Oryzias latipes: one gene and its partner. The protein of the gene in region 1 purifies or fractionates together with the protein of each later gene. This does not show direct contact. Links are inferred from orthologs where the notes say so. Each region holds a gene or a part of one and is shown in the gene's direction. Other genes may lie near its edges.

The links.
Region 2: the proteins of mtmr4 (region 1) and dnajc10 purify together in Homo sapiens (affinity purification with mass spectrometry; 3 studies listed by BioGRID and IntAct, counting the BioPlex papers as one, with this or other methods). This does not show direct contact. The link is inferred for Oryzias latipes from reciprocal best matches to the Homo sapiens genes MTMR4 and DNAJC10.

The regions. Positions count from the first base shown.
Region 1 is NC_019872.2:20,553,890-20,558,348, forward strand, and holds the start of mtmr4 (myotubularin-related protein 4), read left to right. Parts: upstream 1-1,398; 5' UTR 1,399-1,413; coding exon 1,414-1,467; intron 1,468-4,459. UniProt on the Homo sapiens protein: Lipid phosphatase that specifically dephosphorylates the D-3 position of phosphatidylinositol 3-phosphate and phosphatidylinositol 3,5-bisphosphate, generating phosphatidylinositol and phosphatidylinositol 5-phosphate.
Region 2 is NC_019879.2:12,097,441-12,101,256, reverse strand, and holds part of dnajc10 (dnaJ homolog subfamily C member 10), read left to right. Parts: intron 1-126; coding exon 127-220; intron 221-322; coding exon 323-400; intron 401-565; coding exon 566-609; intron 610-1,101; coding exon 1,102-1,167; intron 1,168-1,395; coding exon 1,396-1,461; intron 1,462-1,538; coding exon 1,539-1,628; intron 1,629-1,725; coding exon 1,726-1,836; intron 1,837-1,910; coding exon 1,911-2,025; intron 2,026-2,466; coding exon 2,467-2,594; intron 2,595-3,816. UniProt on the Homo sapiens protein: Endoplasmic reticulum disulfide reductase involved both in the correct folding of proteins and degradation of misfolded proteins.

The DNA.
Region 1 (4,459 bases):
ACCACACATGTGCAGGGTTTTTGCTCCAATTTGACCTCATTCATTCAGAGCTCTCCCTGAAAATGTCTGCTGGAAGGGGTTTGACGTGTGTTTCTAAAATCAAATATTACATTAGAGGCTGTGTATTTTTTTAATCAATTCTTTCTATCATTGTGAATGCTGTACTTTGATTTTTTTTATAGCTTTTTTACAGTGTCATACACACCCCTAAACCACCTACGCTCATCTGAAGGTGGTGTGTTTTTATTTTGATAGGATCCATTCTTGGCACGGCCGAGTCCAGTCGACAGGAGGAGAAGGAGGGATCTGAAGAGGAGCGCCCCGAGTCACTCCTTAAAGCACTGGCTGGCAGCATGGTAAGCCAACTCCACTACTAGTGGGGATTGTAAATGTTAATGTTTATTTTGCTGTAGATTGCAGTTTTTATCTGGTTAAGAGCTGAAGGGGCACGAGCATTTCAGGTCATGTGATAAGAGCGCTTTTCAGGTCTTTGTGTGTTGAACCAGAGGCTTTGTTATGGAAACGCCCAATGAGTAAAACGGCAAGTTTGGGTTTTTTTTCCCAGAAAATGTTGCTGCAAGTTTAAACTCGACTCAAAGTCTTGGAGACGAGTTTGAATTTCAAAACTATATTGATGTTGTTCAAGGGAATACAGTTCAATTTTATTAGTTTCAATTAGAACATCGGATTTGATCATACAGTAACTTATTATAAAATATTATCCTTTTTGGTTGTATTCTCCTGTTATTGTGTCCACAGTTCCCATAACTTCAAACATCTCCATCACAGAAACATTTATTTCTTCTCATTTATTGACGCGATTAGAATTTTTGAACTTGTTCATCTTTGATCTTCTCTGCTTTGTGCTTATAGTCCCACTCCAATCATCTTTTGATCTATTTCCATAGTATTCTCACTAGTCTTTTAATTATACCGTTTAAAAATAAAAAATAAAAACCTGTGTGCTTTGTTAGAAATTAGCCTCTGAGTTGTGGGTGAGACTCTTGGCACGAAACCCCCACCCCCACCCGTTGCTGAGAGCTCACAGTTTACATGATGTCCCACTAGCTTACAGCCCCTCACACCCCCCAACCAGTCATTAGCGGTGCGACAAAAATGGCACACAAGCTAAAGTCCTTCATGTGTTCATTCTATATGAACTGAATCCTGTCTGTGATGTCATCTAACGCTAAGAGTGGGAGGTCTGTCAGTAGTCTGAACTGCTACTTGTAGGATAGATGACCAAGATTATCAAGACGTTACACAAAAGATTCTATGAAACTACACAAAAACAAGAAAATCAACTTCTTTTATTGCAGAATTTTTTTTGAGCAATTCCTCATTCTGAGCAGGAAGGCAGCAGCAGTCATTATCTCACGTATTCTTTTCTCAGCAGGGCTGCACATTTGTTGCATGTGGCTGCAGATTCCCACATGTTTCTGCATCAGAGGAAGTTCTGGGCTGCAGGTAACAGATGTTGCACCGCTGATGTGGCTCCCTGCCCCGTGTCTGGGCTCCATGGTGACCTTGACAAAACTCAGAGCTTGTGACATTTATTTAATCCCACTCTAAATTCCTAAAGAAAAAGGAGTACTTGTTTCTAATCATCTTGTCATTGTTGTAAAAGAATGAATACAGAATGGAAAAATCTTTGTTTCACCCTGTAGTGGGCGCTATTGTTATTTAGCCTACCTGATTGTATTATTCACCAAATATGTGAAAGGTGAGATTCATAGAGATTCATGTCAGGTTTGTTTGTATAACAAGTTAAATTCTTGGCATTCATAAAAATGTATTAGATATATGAAATATAAAATAAAAAAAAGACTAATAAAATAATAAATTCTGCCTTCAGAAAGGTGGAAGAAACTGTGATGACATTGGTGGCAGATTCCTTTTGGACAGAGCTTTTCTGAGGCAGAAGCAGGAAGTGCAGCAGGAGGTCGAGTGTCCCAGGGATCTGGTCAGCTGTGTCCACAGAATGTCACCATGGCTGGCTGCCCGGCTCTCAGCCTTTTTGTGGGAGCTTAATTGATCGCAGAGCTGATTAACAAATAATGTGGCCGCCGGTGCAGGCAAAATGACTGCCTTCCTGTGTAGAAGAAAAAAAAAAATGGAATCTGGGTTCAGTTCTTCCCTCATTGTGTAGCACTTTGCTGTGGCTGGAGTTACAATCCTCATGTGTAATCACACCTGAATAGCCGTGGCAGGTGTGCCAAACACACCCAGAGTTCTTCAGTCACAGGAAATCATTCAGTCTTAAGCTGCAGGCGGTTGGACAGCTGTAGAATAAAACTGCATCAGCTCTTAGTTTGTTAATGATTGACAGTGGGAGGCTTTCAAAATAAAGGTTCCATTCTTATGTAGTGCAGTGATGTTGAGTTGATTCAGTTTAGTAAGAAAAATGGTTTGATTTTATCTTGGCCTTATATTAAAGACAGAACGTGAGGATTTGATGCTTTTGTTTGTTCGTTTCTTGTTGTCGGACATGAGGCATGTGATCACAGCCACTGTGCATTGTAGTGCACTTATTTGAAAGGCGTTTCAGAGTTATTGTCCCAGCGACAAACCCTGATGGGTGTTTGTGTGGCTGCACAACTTCATCTCATTTAGTTCCATAAGAGTTCAATGGTCTGGACGAATGGTTCATTTCTGTTGTTGTGTGAACTGACTCTTCAGTCAGCAGGAGAGCTCAGTGAAAGTGAAGCTCTCTGGTTAATTTAAGGTTGCAGTCAGTGCGGTGTGGATATAAAAAGAATATTTGCTTTTCTGTCACCTGTTTTGTTTGAAGTCTTACTTGTAAGATTTTGTGTTTCAAACAGTTGATTTAAAACAATCCTCTCCAACTCCAATAGTGCAACATTCTGCAGCAGCAAACACTAATGAACTATTATTTAAGCGACAAAACGGTAATTTAAAAATGACCAAAGGAACACATTTGAAGATTATTTTTAAGCATTCATGTCTTATTTCTGTCTTTTTTTCTGCAGTTTATCCGAATGTCAACATGTAGGTTAACATCGCTGACTCGCTGGCCTATTTACCTAAAATAAAACCAAGACACAAGCGGACGATTCTGGTTCTCAGTTTCAAACTGGACCCTGCATCACCTTACAGTATTCTTCAAAACTCATTAGGAAAACAAAGATATATGGTTATTAATAGATTTGGATAAAAAGTCATGCCCCCTCACCCTCCGCGGGTGGTTTCTCACCCAAGCCCGGGTCCTCTATCAGAGGCCTTGGAGCTTGAGATCGCTTCTAAAGTAGATAAAAATATCATTAGAGTAGGACTTTACAATCCTTCAGAAGAAATTGCCTGTTTTCTATTTTTTGCTTCTAGGAATTCAATTCGGCTCAATCCATCTGTTGTAAATCATTACAAGAAAACGTTAACCAAGAAAAGACTTCAATGATTTGTTTTCACTTTCTATTTCACAGAAAAGAGGAAAAAAAAGATTTAGAGGAATTACAGGAGTGTGCCGCTCTGTTTAGGGCTGTATTGTTTTGAGGACAAAGTCTCTTTCCATTTTGTCTCATGAGTTTAATTGTCCCTCTGACTGTAGATTCAGCAGGATGTAAAGCAGCTTGTGCACACGCCTCACCTTGGTCTATAAACTAAGTATCAAAGATAAACCTTGATTCAATGATGACAGTTGTAATGAATGACAATACTTCAAGAAATCAAGATTGTTCAGCGATGGGCTTCATTTTTCTGTGCTTTTCAGTGAGACGAATTACCTTTTTCTTCCTGCACAGTAAACTATGAAACATGGTCTATCTCCTTTATTTTTTACTGACTGTTTGCCCTGGAGCCATAAACCAACACACCTGTGCAAGTTTTGTTTTTTAAAAACACTTTTCAACTTGTTTTTGTACTTGTTTTTTTCCAGAGAAGTTCCGCTTTAAGGCTCCGGCAGGATTGAGCCGTTATCTCATCTGACTCTTTTGCGAAAGACTAGAAACAGCATTTGGAAACAGACGTTAACGTCTGAGGCTCAAGATCACCTCAGCAGATCTGTTTCAAAGGTGACGTTCAGGCGTTAGTATGTTTAATACAAGTTCATGCAGCCAGGCTTTCATTTCACTCATTTTATGGGTTTAGCATGTTTGGTCAATGCATACATTTTGAAGTCAGTTGTAGCTTATCAGTGAAAAAGCTTTAAGCTCCATACATCTAAGAGAAAATCAAGAGAAAAATACCACAACACCATGTTAAAAGTACCAAACACCCAATTAAGCTCCAATCATTTTTTGATCTGAAAGAGTTCACAGTGGTCTTTCCATTACGATTATCGTTTTTAAAATAAAGAAAAACCTGTTGTTTTCTAAGACATAGTTTCTGCAGAGTGGCAGGAGTTCATCACAAATTCACCTCTGACTTGTGGGCGTGGCCACCTTTCCCCTCCCTATCGCTGAGAGCTCTCTGTTAACATGCACTTCCACTAGCTTACAGCCTT
Region 2 (3,816 bases), on another chromosome or scaffold:
CTTTCTCTTTGCCATGACTTAGAAGTCGTAGCCTGTAAACCACATTTTCCTCAAGTTTTGAACTGGATTTTGCAGCCACAGCGATGTTCTGTCGTAAATTATCAATAACTACTTTTGCTTCTGCAGAGACCAGAGAAGTTTAATGGAGAGCGCACCAGAGACGATCTGGTTGGTTTTGCCATGCAGTTCATCACCACCACCGTCACTCAGCTCTGGCAGGGTGAGATACGACTGTGACCCTTACAACCTCAGCTGAGATCCACTTTTTAAAAATCTTTTTCTTTGTAATGAAGTGTTTGTGACTAGATCTTCACCTTTTCAGGGAACGTCTTCACTGAGATTGAGAAGTCGTTTTTGTCAGGGCTGGGCTGGCTGATCACCTTCTGCTCTGACACAGGAGGTAAACATCAGTCTGCCACAAACTCTTCACAGCTCCCAGTGGAAAGTTTAGCGTCTGTGCTCACCTGGTGTCATGAGACACACGTTTACCATATAGTTGTTGTTTTTAAAATTTTTTAATGTCATTTTAATGTTTTTTTGTGTTCCTCATGTGTTTGTCTCTAAGATTGTCTGGAGCCAAGAACAAGACAGAAGCTGGCAGGAATGCTGGTGAGAATTCTTCCCATCCAGTTTAGTTGAAAGAACGCAATTCCAAATTGATCCAGATGATTCCAGTGCAGCCAAACTATTAGAACTCTAATGATGGCCTATGTTAACAACCAACAGATTAAATGAAAGCATTTTGGGAGGCTACTGGGCATCTATAAGGAGAAACTCGCTCTAAATGGATGAATAGAGACAAGCCTACAGCAGAACCAGACTCAGTAGAGCAGCCAGTTGCTATAAGGAACCAGTTGAGGTCAAAGAGCAAGAACTGGAATAAAACACCAAGGCCTTAGAACAACACTTGCCTCATTTTTCTTCTGCTAGTTTACAACATTAAGTCAAAGACGGTCTTGATGCGCAGAGAAGCATGTGTCCTCAATCTGTGTATTATCTTTAGATAAGTGGCAGAGAGTCTGAAAACATCAGGATTCTTTAGACAGTGGTTAAGAAACTGATCTTATCTGATTAATTTGATCCATGTGTGTCTGCATGAAGGAAGGTCTGGTGAAGATGGGATGGATAGACTGCACCGTACAGCCACAGCTCTGTGACAGTTTCCAGGTAACTGTCAAAAACTTGTTTCCTTTCAGGAATATTTGATTGTTTAGAGCTCTGTTTATGCTCTGCTTAAAGGTCAAATAAACCACATCATCATCTGCAAACTGCTTCTTTGCTTTGACATCAGATTTCTCTCATTTGTCCCATTAATTGTTCTGCTTGTTGATAAGTTTCATATTGTGTTGGTGCATTGTGCAGTGCTGGTATTTAACATTAATCCTCCTCCTTGAGGTGGTGAGTGGAGCGACAGCCTTTTTCCCCCCTGGAAGCTCTCTGGATAAAGAAGGCAGTGTACTGGTAAGACCTGAACCAGTGAAGTACTGCAGAAGTGTATTTTCTATCGCTGCAGCTCTGCCTCTGTTTATGTGCTTCAGTGGATCAAGACTCTCGACAGTAAAGAGATCTACAACCAGGTCCTAAACCATCTACCAGATCTGAAGCTGCTGACTGCAGAGAGTTTTGAGGTACTCAAAAAAAAACGAAATCTCTCAGATTACCACTGCTTTAGCACACGTGTCTAGGTTAGCTTAAAAATACATGTTTAAATATGTTCATGTGCAGGAGAAACTGGCCCATCACCGCTGGCTAATCAGCTTCACATTTAGAGACAGAAGTTCCACCACAAATGAGTACAAGAAGCTCCAAGCGTTTCTGCGAAATGACCACATACAGGTACCTTCAGTCCGTCTGTCCCACTCCACGTTTTTGGCTGTTTTCCTGCTAACAGACTGTTTTTCTGTGTCCAGATCGGCAGAGTGGACTGTGTCGCCGACTCAGAGTTGTGTCATTCTCTCTACATCCACAAACCCTGTGTGGCTGTTTTCAAAGGTCTGGGGATCCACGACTTTGAGATCCACCATGGTCAGTACTGGATCTTCTCTGTCTTGCATCTGTCTACGCTTCACCTGCCGGATCTTTTTATTCCTGCAGAATTAAAGTTCCACTCCGATCCTCTTTTGATCTATTTACAAAGCATTCCCGGGAACATTAGCATGGACTAAGCCTACTCCCACTTCCTGTCTAGGTCTAGTTTACAGCCCCTCACACCCCCAACCTAACATTACTGGTGCCGCAAAAATGACGAGCAATATTGGAGCTATCTAGTTTAGTACCAGATTCCAGCTCAGACGAGGAAAACAAAGACGTTCGTGGATCTGTTTGTCTGCAAGTGGATGCATCAGAATGGAGTGGAGCACGGAGCCCAGCATATTTTCTACGATAGTTCAACGCTCATCTGTACCTTTGCCCTCTCTGCCTGTTTTTGTGACGTGTGTATTTTTGTGACATTGTGTCTTCTTGCAGGTAAAGATGTGTTGTACAACATCGCAGCCTTTGCAAAGGACAGCGTTCGTGCCCATGTGACGACCCTGAGGCCGGACAACTTCCCCTCTGACAGGAAGGAACCCTGGCTGGTGGATTTCTTTGCTCCGGTTTGTACTTTTTTGGTTCAGCATGGAAATAATTTTATTCTCCTTGAAAAATTGTGCCTTAAATGATTGATTATATTTTATAAAATGTTCTTATCATGCGAAGACATCCAGTATTTTAATACAGTCAAGTTAAAGACCACTTTATTTGATTTATAGAAAGGAACAGCTTTTCTGAAGGTGAACCTGAGAAGTCATTAGTTGCCAGCAGCTCCACAGACCATACATGCTCACTTATTGACAGCATCACCACAGGGATCTTCAGTAGCCTCCTTTGACTGGACCTTTGCCGTGTTGAGATGTTTTACCCTTGTGTGGAAAAACTGGCTCCCGAGGCTGCCGTATATATATATTTTTTAATCTAAAGAAAAAATGTCTAAATACAAAAAGGTCTTTAGTTGAGAAAAAATAACTTAACTAGTGTTGGCATGACCAGATCTGATAATCAAACATTAGTTCTGTGGGACCCATCTTTGCGCTTTCAAGTGGCTAAAATCTGTTCATTCATTCTTTTGGGTGGTTTTGGTTTAACTGTTTACATTCCCTGTTTGCTTCCACATAAGGTGATAGAGAGCAGCAGAGGGACCAAAGGCACCATGAAACCTGCTTTTTAAAGGATACATAGGGACTATTTGGAATTACAAAAAAAGTTTTCAACACCAGGCTATTTATATGTTTTGTTTTTGCTTTAAAATCTGAAGCTTTAACATGGGAGTCAATGGAGAATTGCTCCTTTCTGACACCAGCCTTCAGTGGTCTTGGGAGGAACTGCAGGATTTGGTCCTTCCTGCTTTGTATCTGGTTTGAGAACAAAAGTGGGAGTTTCACTCTGTAGTTCCACTCCGATCATCTTTTGATTTATTTTCAAAGTGTTCCCCTTACAACCCCACGCAAACATTAGCGGTAGAACAAAAATGGTGAGCAATATCAGAGCTATCCATCCGTGCAGTTTAGATCCAGATTCCAGCTCAGAGGAGGAAAACAAAGACGTACATGGATCTATTTGTCTAAAAGTGGATGCATCAGAAAGGAGCAGAGCAGGGAGCTCCATCAGTCGTATTTTCTACGTAACAAATACAATATTTTTCAAACAGTATTTTGTTGTCTGCTCCTGATTTACAACAATTTGAATAAAGAATCATTCCAAAATGCAATTTTATGTTTACATTTCTTTATATATGTCTTATATCATCAGAAAAATGCCACAAGAACATGTTAAAAACAC